Cricetulus griseus: one gene and its partners. The protein of the gene in region 1 purifies or fractionates together with the protein of each later gene. This does not show direct contact. Links are inferred from orthologs where the notes say so. Each region holds a gene or a part of one and is shown on either strand. Other genes may lie near its edges.

What was found. Proteins that work in one complex are often made in the same cells at the same time.
Region 2: the proteins of Snrnp70 (region 1) and Srrm2 purify together in Homo sapiens (affinity purification with mass spectrometry; 3 studies listed by BioGRID and IntAct, counting the BioPlex papers as one, with this or other methods). This does not show direct contact. The link is inferred for Cricetulus griseus from reciprocal best matches to the Homo sapiens genes SNRNP70 and SRRM2.
Region 3: the proteins of Snrnp70 (region 1) and Mrps14 purify together in Homo sapiens (affinity purification with mass spectrometry; 3 studies listed by BioGRID and IntAct, with this or other methods). This does not show direct contact. The link is inferred for Cricetulus griseus from reciprocal best matches to the Homo sapiens genes SNRNP70 and MRPS14.

The regions. Positions count from the first base shown.
Region 1 is NC_048599.1:154,296,141-154,301,672, reverse strand, and holds part of Snrnp70 (U1 small nuclear ribonucleoprotein 70 kDa), read left to right. Parts: intron 1-1,329; coding exon 1,330-1,392; intron 1,393-1,663; coding exon 1,664-1,718; intron 1,719-5,532. UniProt on the Homo sapiens protein: Component of the spliceosomal U1 snRNP, which is essential for recognition of the pre-mRNA 5' splice-site and the subsequent assembly of the spliceosome. SNRNP70 binds to the loop I region of U1-snRNA.
Region 2 is NC_048600.1:43,318,587-43,322,846, forward strand, and holds the start of Srrm2 (serine/arginine repetitive matrix protein 2), read left to right. Parts: upstream 1-1,460; 5' UTR 1,461-1,650; intron 1,651-4,260. UniProt on the Homo sapiens protein: Required for pre-mRNA splicing as component of the spliceosome. As a component of the minor spliceosome, involved in the splicing of U12-type introns in pre-mRNAs.
Region 3 is NC_048598.1:31,845,527-31,849,553, reverse strand, and holds the start of Mrps14 (28S ribosomal protein S14, mitochondrial), read left to right. Parts: upstream 1-1,227; coding exon 1,228-1,272; intron 1,273-2,982; coding exon 2,983-3,141; intron 3,142-4,027.

The DNA of each region.
Region 1 (5,532 bases):
TCCTTTATTTATTTTGGATGTAAGATAAACGGAAAAATTAAGTAAAAAGAAAGAAATGTAATAAACAATACCTATCAAAAGAATTTTTTAAAAACTTATTTATTTTAAAAACTTATTTATCATATGCATGCTGCTTCCTTGGTGCCATAAAGCCCCTGGAACTGGAGTTACAGACAGGTGTGAGCTGCCATGTGGGTGCTGGGAATTGAACTCAGGTCCTCTGGAAGAACAGCTGGTGCTCTTAACTGCTGAGCCATCTCTTCAGCCCCATTTTGTCTTTTTTTTTTTTTTAAAGCTTGCAGAGATACATCTACTTGGCTTTGTGCTCTCAAGTACTCAAGTACTGGGATTAAAGTCTTGTGTCTCCACTCTTTGGGGTTTCTGTTTGGAACTGTGGGGAGTTGCAGAATTCCTTTGGGAGCCATGTAGCTTTTTGTTTTGTTTTGGTTTTGGTTTTGGTTTTTGAGACAGGGTTTCTCTGTGACTTTGGAGCCTGTCCTGGAACTAGCTCTTGTAGACCAGGCTGGCCTCAGAACTCAGATACCCGCCTGCCTCTGCCTCCCGAGTGTTGGGACTAAAGGTGTGTGCCACCACTGCCCAGCTACACTGCCTCAGTTTCTTGAGTGCTGGGATTAGAGGTGTGCACCCCTACCACCCTGCTTTTTTTCTTCTTCTTCTTGCCAGGTAGCTTTGGAACTGTACTTTACAGCTATGTAACTTATGTTACACTCTGATGAAGAACAAATGTCTACCAGTCATTGTAGGTGCTTTTTTGTTTTGTTTTGAGACAGGTTTTTTTTCTGTGTATCCTTAGCTGTCCTGGAACTCACTGTGTAGACCAGGCTGGCCTGGATCTCAGAGATCCACCTGCCTCTGCCTCCTGAGTGCTGAGATAAAAGGCGTGGACTACCACCATCCCTGGTGATTGATGCTTTTGCTAAATACAAGGGAATTGTTTCTGTGTTTTGTTTAAAAGTACCTTCAAAAATGATATTTTTTTCTTTCCGTTTAATTATTCTAGTAAAGTTACTTGGGCTGTCCTGGAGCTTGCTCTGTAGACGAGGCTGGCTTTGAACTCATAGATCTGCCTGCCTCTGCCTCCTGAGTCCTGGGATTAAAGAGGTGCACAACCAACACCTGGTAGAGATGTTTGTATTGTCCTTGCCACAGACCTCCAGTAGTCTGGGCAGCACTGGTCCTCATTGGACCACTTCCACCCTCTGTCTTCTGTTTATACTGGAACTAATGGCACTTGTGTATGGGGGGGAACTGAGAGTCTTTTCGTTGCTGGTATGCCATGCTATTTTCCATCACCTCTCTTGTTCCTAGGACCCTCGAGATGCCCCTCCTCCAACAAGGGCAGAAACCCGGGAAGAACGCATGGAGAGAAAGGTATGTTGTTTTTACGTGAGTCTTTTGTTTTTTCAGAACAGGGTCTTTCTGTGTAGCCCTGGCTGTCCTGGAGCTCATTGTGTAGACCATGCTGGCCTTGAACTCACAGAATTCCGCCTGCCTCTGCCTCCCATGTGCTGGCATTAAAGGTTCGCCGCTGCCGCCAGGCACTTCTTAGTCTTGCTATATTTTTACCTACTTTTTTCCAGAGATCCCTGTAGTCCAGGTACCCCTGCTTGCACTTAACTCTACATTTTCTTTCTATTGGCAGAGACGGGAAAAGATTGAACGGCGACAGCAGGAAGTGGAGACAGAGCTGAAAATGTGTAAGGTTCTCCTCCCTCCTATCAATCTTCCCCTCCAGTCTCATTTTGTTCCTCTTGTTTTTGTTTGTTTGTTTGTTTTTTGTTTTTTGTTTTTTCAAGACAGGGTTTCTCTGTGGCTTTGGAGGCTGTCCTGGAACTAGCTCTTGTAGACCAGGCTGGTCTTGAACTCACAGAGATCCGCCTGCCTTTGCCTCCTGAGTGCTGGGACTAAGGGCATGCGCCACCAACGCCTGGCTTCATTTTGCTGCTCTTACCAGGTCATACCTGAGCCACTATTCTCCTGGGTGCCTGAGAAAGCAGAGTTAGTTCACTTTCCTAGCAACCACTTGCCAAGCATAGCTCTTGGATTAGGCTCTCTGTTTTAAAAGTTCTTGTATGCCTTATTAGTTTTTAAAAAACATGTATGAGTGTATTGCCTATCTGTATGTGGGAGATCAGAAGAGGGCATAGGATTCCCTGGAACTGGAGTTGGATAGTTATGAGCTGCTATGTGGGTGCTGGGAATGAAACACCAACTCCTGGAAGAGCAATCTGTGCTCTTAATCGCTGAGCCATCTCTCCAGCTCCAGTTGGTGTAGGCTTTTAACAGGTAGGATTACCCCAGTCACTTGCCCTATCTATAAAAGGACCACATCCCATTGTGTCTCCAGGATAAGGCATGAGGTGATCTGGTCAGTTGGTCCTGTCTTTATCCCTGGCTTCCTGATCCTGGAAGTGGAGATGCTTTACCATCCAGGTGTGGAGAATTTAAGTAGTGCTTGGTAACCAGACTCAAAAGGATGAGATCTCAGTGTTCTGTATGTAAAGACTCATCATTATCTATCTCCATCTATTGTCTGCAGCCTTAGTGAATCGTTTCTTTCTAAACCATATGCTAGAACTTCTGGGTTTTCTCAAGTGTATTTAGTATACATGACTAACAGATGGGGCATGGAGCTCTGGTTCTTACACCATACCTGGCTAGATGTTCTTTCATGCGCATACTACATGTTGAAGCCACACAATCACCTTCCTCTCCTCCCAGTTCCTAAGGGATTCAACCTTCCCTGAGACATGGCTTTCCAGATGTTGATACTCTGTTTTTTATACCTGTGTTATGATTCTCTAAAGGAACAGAATTGAGAATGGGGAAAATTCAATCAATCAATCAGTCAATCAAGTTCAAAAGGCCAACTGGTCTACCTCCATTAAAAAAAAAAAATCCACAGAGACAACTGGTAAACCTCTATACATTATTTTAAAACAAGACAACTGGTCGACCTCCATTTATGTTTTATATATATCTGTGTCCATGCCGGACACGCAACACACACACACACACACACAGATTAGAGTGGCTGTCTCTCAACAGAAAGGCTAAGAGTCTGTTAGTGTTCGGTCCACAAAGTTGGATATCTCAGCTTTATTCCATGTTGGAATTCTGAATAAGTAGGTTCTAATACCAGTGAAAGAATGGCTCAACAGCAGGATGGATGAACTTGGCAGGAGAGTGAAGATAGGTAGGCAAAAACTTCATTCATTCATGGTTTTATGTTGGCTGCCAACAGAAGGTGTGGCCCTGATTTAAGTTGGATCTTCTTACCTTAAATAATTCAATCCAGAAATCCCCACAGGCATGGGTTTTAGTTGATTTCAGATGTGTTAAAGTTTACAACTAGATTAGCCACAGCATCAATATAACTTTCCCAGCTTATCACCAAGACCTGTCCTGCTACTTGCTAAATGTCACAACATTAGACATTCCTGTCCTCCAGTAGCACCGATCCCTTTTGGCTTGGGCAGTGCTGTAGCAGTGTGTCTTGTTTACTTGACCTTCCCTAGCCAAAATCCTTTATGGGGCTTTGTTAGGACAAGCGCTTATCTCCGCCTCCTGACCTCAGCATAAAAGCCCAGTCTCTTCCTTGCCTATCCAGGTATGCTTTGCACCCCGTGGAGAATGTGAAAGATTGTATAGAACAGACTGACCTCATTTCCTTAAAACAAACAAAAAAACATATAAACAACTTGATAAGGAAAAGTTGGGGCAAGTCAGTAGGTATGTTTAAAAAGTGTTAAGAACCAGCATAGCAGGCTCTTGGATGTGACTGAAGCTCTCAAACTGGGGTGGGGGAATGTAGAAATCAATCAAGTTAGGCCTGTATCTTATACAGAAGGGCAGTTAGGTTTCTGGTCAGCCTAGTGAACTTTTGTAGCTTTGAGACTTCTTGTGGGCTAGTTTCTTCTTGGGGTTCTGACCAGTGAGAGCAAAGGGGTGCAGCTGAGTACAGAGGCAAGCATGCCACACACGAACACTTAGTAATAGGCACTGCCTATTACTTGCTGTCTTCCTGGTAATGTATTCTTTCAGATAGGAGTACTTCATCAGCCCCATGGTAAGCAAGAACTCTAGGCATCTCAAATAGAGATGTTTCCCTCTTTTGTGTGCTTCCTACTGCCTTTCAGGCAAGCTCAGTTCTCATTGACTGGCATCCACCCTGTAGGCAGCACTGGACACATACATACCCATTGCACTCTACACCTAGTGTTTGGGGTGTATGTGTGCATTTTTACCTTGACACCTTTGGACATGTCTCAGCAGCCAGTTTATGGGGTGCTGTTCTCCACTGAACCCAAGCCTTTGTGCATGTACTCTCCTAACTTTATTATTCTGATCCATATACCCATGCCTCCTTTTTATTTAGGTAGCTTTTAGGTTTTTTTCTTTTGAGACAGGGTTAGCCCTGACTGTTCTGGAACTTGCTTTGTAAACCAGGCCAGCCTTGAACTCACAGAGATCCATCTGCCTGCCCAGTACTGGGACTAAAGGCATGTGTCACCAGGCCTTGTGACAGTCTTAATGTCTTGAGTCCTCTTCTGTCACCATATTAACAGCCATGCCCTTTTGATCAAAAGGACCACCACTGTGGCTGATTGTTTGGGTTTAGTTTTGATGTTGGTGGGAAGGTCACAACTGATAACTGAAGAGACTTGCCTGTGTCCTGTCAAAAATATGCTAAAACAATCTGTAGTAAGGACAGTCTCTCTGGACTTTTAAAACATGCTTATAGGCCACCAGTGAAAAACAGAAGGACCCCCTCCCCCCCCTTTTTTTAAGATTTACTTATATATACAGTGTTCTGTCTGCATGTATGCTTGCATGCCAGAAGAGGGCATCAGATCTCATTACAGACGATTATGAGCCACCATGTGGTTGCTGGACTTGAACTCGGGACCTCTAGAAGAGCAGCCAGTGCTCTTAACCTCTGAGCCATGTCTTAGTTTTTTGTTTGTTTGTTTGTTTGTTTTTGAGACAAGGTTTCTTTGTGTAACAGCTCTGGCTGTTCTGGAACTCCCTTTGTAGACCAGGCTGGCCTCAAACTCAGAGATCCACCTGCCTCTGCCTCCTGAATGCTGGGATTAAAGGCATGTACCACCGCTGCCAGTGGTTACTAGGTTCTGAAGACTTAATCCCTTGGTGACTACATGGGAGGTAGTTCTCCATGCCACTTTGTCCTGGTCATTTCCTTCAGCACTAGCTTGGAGTCCCTACCAAAGGCCGTAGGATATGGGGCGGGGGGACTATTCGGACTGTCTTTCTTTTTGAGAGAGAGTCTCACTATGTAGCTTGGCTGACCTAAAACTCATTATGTAGACTAGGCTGAGTTCTGCCTGCCTCTGTGCCGGGATTAATTCATGGGTCATCACACCCAGTTTATCCTGGACTCCTGTCTTAGATCTGAGACTGCTTGGTATCAGGCTTCCCCCTGGCTGTGGCTGCAATCTTAATGAGTGGCAGTACTGTTAGGGAACAAGATAGCTTGAGTCATCCCTCCAG
Region 2 (4,260 bases), on another chromosome or scaffold:
TCTTTGTGAGTTCAAGGCCAGCCTGGTCTACAAAGTGAGTGCCAGGATAGGCTCCAAAGCTACACAGAGAAACCCTGTCTCGAAAAACCAAAAGAAATGAATGGGGGTAGGCTGGATATCTAGATGGCTCAGTAAGACTTTGTAGTGTTCATGCAGAGGAACAAAGTTCGGTTCCAGCACCTACCTCAGCTGGTTCACAAGCCCTCAATGCCTCTGACCCCCACAGGAACTGCACATACCCTGAACAGACAAACATGGATACACATAACGTTGTTTTTGAGACAGGGTTTCTCTGTGGCTTTGGAGGCTGTCCTGGAACTAGCTCTTGTAGACCAGGCTGGTCTTCAACTCACAGAGATCCACCTGCCTCTGCCTCCCGAGTGCTGGGATTAAAGGCGTGCGCCACCACCGCCCGGCCCACAAAATCGTTAATACATAAATTAAATAGGTAATAGGCCTGGAGTACAGCTCAGTGGTAGAGCCCTTGCTGGCACATTTGAAGGCTCTGGGATCAATTCCCAGTACCGCACTACAAGGCACAGGGAATGGTACAGAAGAGATAACATTTTAAAGTTATTCTTGGCACATTCCTTCACACACAGCACAGATTCTACAGGAGGAATATCTAGTCTCTCTACCCAAAGGTAAGGGAACTTTCTTTTGGAGACAACCCTATTCTTTGTGTAGCCCTGGCTGTCCTGAAGGTGGTCTGCCTCTGCCTCCCGAGCGCTAGGATTAGAAGTGTGCTCCACCACCGCCAAGCAAGAGAAACGGTTTCTCATTGGCCTGCCCGCCCCATTTCAGCTCCGTCTAAGATGGTGAAGACTAAGGACACCGCAAGAGACTAGTTTGGCTTTTGCTTCAGAACCTGGACCAGAGTCGGTTTACGTGGTTCCAGGGGTGCTAGGAGACTTGACTTTGGAGCAACTCCTCCTGAGAGCGGGAGACCCGGTGCTGTGTGCCCTCAGAATTGCTGAAGAAACCCGCAGTCACAGGGAAGAGGTAGAGTTGCTGAGCCATTGCCACACAACACAGGCAGACAAAATGGCGACACTGCCGGGAGAAGGTGCTCTGCGACGCGCTCTCTACAGCTGAACTACAATTCCCAGAACTCTCTGCGCGGGGGGCGGGAGGCATTCTTCGACGTTGCGGGTAGAGAACCCCGTGCCCCTCCCCCTTCCCGCAGAAGATTTCCAGCAGACGTTGCCTCTTCGGTACGGTGCCTCGCCTTTCCCCGCTTTTCCCCCGCAGTGCCCGACGGGACTCGGGGTTTTTCGACTTCGCTACCGAACGTCCCTTGCGCCTAAAAAAAAAAAAAAAAAAAAAAGAACCTATATCGCCATCGTGTGCCTTCAACGCCTGCGCACAACGCACTACGGCTCCCAGAGGGCCCAGCGCCTCTCGTGGTTGCGTGCTGACGCACTCGGTCGTGCTGACGTGCACCGCGGTCCAGGCGGGGTGCGAGTGGCGCAGTCGAAGCCCGCTGCGGCCCCTGAGGAAGCGGACGAGGCGGCGGCGGCGGAGGCGGCTGAGGCGGGCGGACCCGCGAGGCGGCGGCGGCGGCTTCAGGCCCCGAGGGATCCGAAGACCTTAGCAGCGGCCGCGGCAGGACCTCTCCCCTTCGGAGGCGGCGGCCGAAGGCGGCGGCGGGTGAGAGAAAGGGAGCGCGCTAGCTGGGTGGGGGAGGGGCGGCGGTCTCGGCTCGAGGCCAGGGCGCTCGGAGAACGGCCCAGGCCGCCTCGCGCACGCGTGCTCGGCGCCCCGGCTCGCGCGGACGCCTTCTCCTACCCTTCTCCCTTCCCCTCCCGCGGTTCCGGTGGCGCGCGGCCCTCCACTCGCTCGCCCCTCCCCCACATGGCAACGGCGCGCGCAGCGCCGCCGCCGCCGCCGCCTGGTCTCCCGTCCGCGCGTCCCCGAGGAGATAGCGGCGCGCGGGCCTCTCTGGTTGCCGCCGTCTTTGCTCTACCTGGGTCTGAAGAGACCCTCGTTCCGCGCTCGCCCTTTTCCGTCTTGAGTCGCGGGGAGGGGGCGGCAGCCGGGGGGTCCTGTGCCCCGCCCGGGCTTCCGACCTGCGGGTATCCCACCCCGATGACCCGGGCGTGGGCCCTCCTGCCCCTGCTGGGGGCCTGAGAAACGGCCGGGCCTCAGACTGCGGGGCGGGCGGGCGCCGCGCGGCCCCCTCCCCCATTCTCAAGGCCGAAAATAGGCCCGGCGGCCAGTGAGCGAGCGCTGGGAGGCCTTGAACATCGGGAGGCCCGGACTTGTCCTTAGAGCGCTGAGGTTATGAGTGTGTGTGAGGTGGCGGGGTCGGGTATCCCCAAATCTTAAAAGTAAAAAAAAAAAAAAAAAACGAACGTGTTCAGTCCGCGTGTATAAGGAAGATCATGTGCTCCTGCCTACTACCTGGCTATTTATTTATTTTTTTTACCTTCTGGTTTTATGAGATAGCCTGTCTAGCCTGGAACTTCAGAGATCTGCCTGCCTCTTTACCGAGTGCTGGGATTAAAGGCATGCGCCACCGTGTCCGCCTCCTACCCTGCTTTTTAAACATGTCTTCTCAAATGATACAGCTAGGGTGGCTTTTGCAGCTTTTCAATGGGAAGGCAATTCTGGGCTTAAACAGCCTGGCTTGTGTCAGCCATTACTTGGCATGAATTTCTTCCTATGCTGTTTCCATTTTGCAGTTCTTTTAAGCTGTTTCAAAGATTCAAAAGGAGTCTTGTTTTTTCTCCTTTGGATGGGCTTAGGTAAGGTCTCTTCCTGGGTTAATATTGGAGCTGCGTATGTTACACATGTGTTTACATAGTTAATAGTGTCTCAGCCCTGAGTTCTCAGTATTTTACTCTGTCCTTTTCCTGGGCCCATTGCTGTTCTCTCAGGTGCCCCTCCCACCTTTTTTTTTTTTTTTTATCTTGAATGTCTTAGTTCTAAATTTCTGCCTCTTGTAGTTTGTCATTCTGATCATTATTTTCCCTTGGCAACTTGGTTTCTTTCTGTTCTTAACTTTGGAAGGCTTGCATACTTTGTGCTCCTGTTTTAAGTGCTGCCTGGTTTTGGTAATTCCCTTTTAGTGTCTTGAGCACTACTTTGGATCCAGGGTGGTGTCTCTCTCTCTTGTCTGTCTCCCTCTCCCTCCCTCCCTCCCTCTCTCTTTCTCCCCCTCTTTTCCTCTCTCTCTCTCCCTCTCTCTCTCTCCCTCCCTCCCTCTCTCTCTCTCCCTCTCTCTCTCTCTCTCACACACACACACCTCTTTCCTGAAAGGTCACCAAAATCATGATTTTTAATACATTTTACTTAGCCTTCTTCAGGTATGGAGTGGGCGGATTTTTGTGTGAAATGGTGGAAGTGTGTGTAAATTGGAAGATTGTAAGAAGCCTTTTGCATGGGCTGGAGAGAGAGCTGCTCTTCCAGAGCTCCTGAGTTCAATCTCCAGCAACCACATAGTCCCTCAAAACCAGCTATAATGAGATCAGATGCCCTCTTCTGGTGTTCAGTCAAACATTCAGGCAGAACACTGTATATATAATAAATGAAATACATCTTAATGAAATAAATCTTTAAAGAAAAAGAAAAAAGCCTTTCACAGAGGACACAAATGAAGCAATATAGGCCTTAGATTTAGAGGAAGAAAGGATTGGTATTTTTAGACTTTTAAGAATGATTGTTGGGCCTGGCTTGGTGGCGCTTGCCTTTAATCCCAGCACTTGGGAGGTGGAGGCAGGCGGATCTCTGTGAGTTCGAGGCCAGCCTGGTCTCCGAGTGCCAGGATAGGCTCCCAAGTTCACAGAGAAACCTTGTCTCGAAAAACCAAAAAAAAAAAAAAAAAAGATTGTTGGAAGGTACTACAGAAACATTTCTTGGCTCTAAAAAAAGGTTTTTCTGTGGCTTCCTGAATTTACACTTGTTTTTCATAGATTTAGTCTTATCTGTTATTCATTCTCGACCCTGATAGACTTCTTACTTGTATTGAGTAGGTCTTAGGATAGGCTTGATTGAGGGTGGGAAGGGACAGAAGTACATTTGGGTATTTTCTTTACATTTGACATTTGTCTTTTTTTTTTTTTTTCTTCTTCACACTTTGGTGTTTTGTTGAGGAATTGATATAATACTGGTTCTGGAATTCTGTGAGTGTAATCTTTTATCCAACTCCATCTCTTCCATCTGCTTTTACTAACCTTCACTTTTCCCTGTTGTGTGCTTGCTTGTCTTTAATGTTCTGAAAATCTGTCTTGGAGAAAATGTGTTGGAGTGGAAAAAATA
Region 3 (4,027 bases), on another chromosome or scaffold:
ATAAGGGTTTGCAGTGTAGCCATGTCTAGAGAGGACTATAGACTTCGCACAATTGTAGGGAGTTCCGGAAGGGTGTGAACAAGGGTTTGAGACCGATGTCTGCCTGCTGAGGCTGGTGTAGGAGTTTTTTGATCCCGCTGTCTACTCTTGTCAGATAGTTTCAGTCTGACTCTCTCTAATCCGTTAGAAATGTTCAATAAGAAAAACAAAGGGGGGGGGGCTGGAGAGATGGCTCAGAGGTTAAGAGCACTGACTGCTCTTTCAGAGGTCCTGAGTTCAATTCCCAGCAACCACATGGTGGCTCGCAACCATCCGTTATAAGATCTGGTGCCCTCTTCTGGTGTGCAGATATACATGGAAGCAGAATGTTGTATACATAATAAATAAATAAAGTCTTAAAAAAAAAAGAAATGTTCAATAAGGGGTGGAGAGATGGCTCAGTGGTTGAGAGCACTGGCTCTTCTTCCAGAGGCCCTGGGTTCAATTCCCAGCACCCACATGGTAGCTCACAGCTGTCTGTAACTCCAATTCCAGGAGATCCGATACTTTTGTGCACATAAAATAAAGTTAAATAAATTATTTTTTTTAAAGAGAATTGTTCAATAAATTGGAATCACTAAAGAAAAAGTTCTCTTTTGTACTGGGGTGTCCCTATGTAAATAGCCCAATGGGCGGTTCCTCACCAAATCAGGCTAGGAGCAAAGTACTTTCAGCAAAGTACCCTGTACTATATGAAAACAGAAGTTTTCAATGGCACACAATAGAGAGAGAGAGGAGAGAGGAGAGAGGAACAAATACACAGATACAATGTGTATTATTAAAACCCTAGACACGCAAATAGAAACTCTGCGCCACTGCCATCATCACATCCGTCACCATTACGGCAGGAACGCGGCACGTGCCAGTTCCGCAGGACGAGTGACAGACGCCGGCAAGCTTCCGCCAACAGAGACTGCGAGAGCAGGTTGGGCGGGGCAACAACCCGGCCCCGGGAAAGAGAGCAGCGCGCGTGCTCACTGCACCACCTCTTCCGGAGCGGGCGGGCCGACTGGATGGTTCTCCCGGGTCCCGTGAAAAACCGTGAGAGCGCAAATCCCGTACCTAGCCCCTGCCTCCTTATAGGCTAAATCCTGCCCCGGGCCCGCCCTTTTAGCCACAGGCCCCGCCCCACAACCTACCTTTTCCGGCGCTGTAACGCAGCAGCGGTTGGCTGGTGGGGCGGACGACATGGCGGCGTCCTTGTTGGGCTCGCTGCTGCGGACTTTCCGGCAGGTCAGGCCCTTGCCTTTCTCGCCAGCCCACTTCTCACCCCTGAACCCCGTGTCCTGTGGGTTGCCCGGTACCCTGGGGACTGTCATGCACACGGAGGACCAATCCCAGGCCTCCTACCATCCGCTTTCCCCTTCCGGCTTGGTTCGGAGAGGCCTAACCGGCAAAGGAGGGTTTGGTGTTTAAGCGTGGAGCCCTGATTTGAAAGCTGAGAGGTTGATCCCGGCTTTCAGGAGCTGCGTGCGTGTAAATAGAACAGAAAAGGGACCGGAGGATTGAGGCCTCACGGGTGGTGACAGAATTTCGAACAGGGAGCAGGCCATTCCGCTAAAACTGGAAGGTTAATGAAAGATTTGAGGAGTGACAGTGTTACGATGCGCACAGAAACTGGGAAAAACAGCAAAGGAAATTGGAGAAGTGTTCGGGAGAGTTCTGCAAGGGGTGGTGGGGAGGGCGGTGTCAGCCAGAGACAGAGAGAGAGACCTTACTTAGTTCTTTTTCCTTTACCACGACAGAAGGAACATCATATTCGTAAGATATCGTTATCAGATATAAACAACAACGTCTGGGGGGGGGGACCCACTAAAGTGGGAAATGATGATCCAGAGAACAGGGAAGGATCGCCAGAGCTCTGCCTTTGCAAGCAGGAGGTGACATAGGGTCTCGTGTATGAAGTTTGATCTCAGGATCATGTACAGGTCACGTCTAGCACTTTTGTCCAATAGAAATGTAAAGCCAAACAAGGGTGATTGGTATTTTTTCTAGTATTTAAACTGAAGTAAGAAAGTAGGTACAAGTTAATTTTGATAGATATTTTTAGCCAGGTATATCCATATTTTAACAAGTCAAGATTATATATAGTGATTTGTGAGACATTTACATTCCTCTGTTGGAAGTAGGTTTTCAAAATCTTACTTGTGTTTTATACCTAAAACATACTGCTGTTGGGATGCTAAATTTTGCAAATGATATAGTGGAAAAACGCAATTGTGCCAAAAACAAAGTTGCTTGCTATTTGAAAATTTAAGTGACTTAGTATCAAGAATTATGTCCCCAGTTGTACTGCTCACAGCCATATCCATGTCTAGCGGCCACTGTAACAGAAAGTTGACATAACCCTGGAGGGGTTACAGACTGTAGTACAAAAGCTACATTTGAGTGAATAGGTATGGAAGTTTGGAAATTCTCCTCACATTGCTTCTGATTTAATAACTAAGGAACATTAAAGTCACCGGAACATTAGGGATTGGGAGCAGGGGACAGTGATTTAAGGAAGAGGAACTCCTGCAAATTGTCCTCTGATTTCCACTTGGGTTATAGTATGTACATGCACAAGCAAATAAATAAATGTAATAAATCAGTTTTTTAAAATACTAAGTCTTGGGCTGGTGAGATGGCTCAGTGGGTAAAATGCTTACCACCAAGCCTGTCTAGTTCAATGTGAGGACTCGTGGTAGAGGAGAGAGCTGACAGAAAGTTGTCCTCTGACCTCCACATGCATGGCCATTCACATACACACAGTACGGACTCACAGGTTGGCCTCTGACCTTCACAAACATGTCCATCCATACACAAGCACTTGTGTGCATGTATATGTGCCAAATAAATGTACTTTTTTTTTTTTATTGCCAAAAGTCCTAAGTAGAGACTGAAAGAAGTTTACAGGATTGGAAAAACACTTGCAGTGCCTGTGATCCTGTCTCTGTCTTTTAGGCAGTCCCTCCATCAACATCAAGTCAAGTTCGAGGTTACTATGTAGACTGGAAAATGTTGCGTGATGTGAAGAGACGAAAAATGGCTTATGAATATGCAGATGAGAGACTTCGGATCAATTCACTCAGAAAGAATACCATTTTGCCAAAAGACCTTCAGGTTAGCTGCTGAGTCCCTGTCTTTCCCAATATCATTTACTGATGTCATTTCAGATTCTTTTTGATGCTTTTTATTGCAACTTAGTATTAATGTAATTTTCTGGAGAATAAGATCAAATACTCAAGTTTACATAAATAGCCTTAAAACCAACTTTGGTAAGTTTAGGCTAAAGGACAACTGTTCACTCCTTCCTGGTTTTTCAGCCATTTCATTATACAATCCCTACATAGTACTACTGAGTGGTGACCACATAGAAAGTAAGAAGTATTTTGATGAAAGGTCTCCCCAGTTTCATACCAGTCTTGGAACCTTCAAGGCATTTGGAGGTATTGCTGATGCATGGGCTATGTACAAAACACATGACCTGTGGTCCTTACTCAAGACCTGCCGTCCTGAACTTTTGCCCTTTCCAGGTCCATGGTTAGGTAGTCTTCCATTTAGCCTTCCTTTCTTCTCATGTACTTCCAGTTAAATAAGAGGGTGTCAACCCTGTTTGGCTTCCTGTGGCATTTGGTTTTATACTTAGGTGATGGCATAATACATGTACTGAACTGAAGAGGCTTGTAGGAAATTAGAAAATCAAGGCTACTTACTTTACTGAAAGTTCACAGAAAGAAACAAAACAAACATTTATACAAATTGGCAGAATGATTTAGTCTGTTTATGTATTCTTCACCCCCCCACCCCCACCCCTTTGGTTTTTTGAGACAGGAGTTCTCTTTGTAGCTCTGGCTGTCCTGGAACTTGATCTGTAGACCAGGCTGGCCTCGAACTCAAGAGATCCACCTGCCTCTGCTTCCTGGTTCCACAGTCTATCATAGGGTCAGTGGTAGATGCCAATACCTCTGACAAATGTATTGGTATAAGTATATATATTAACATACTC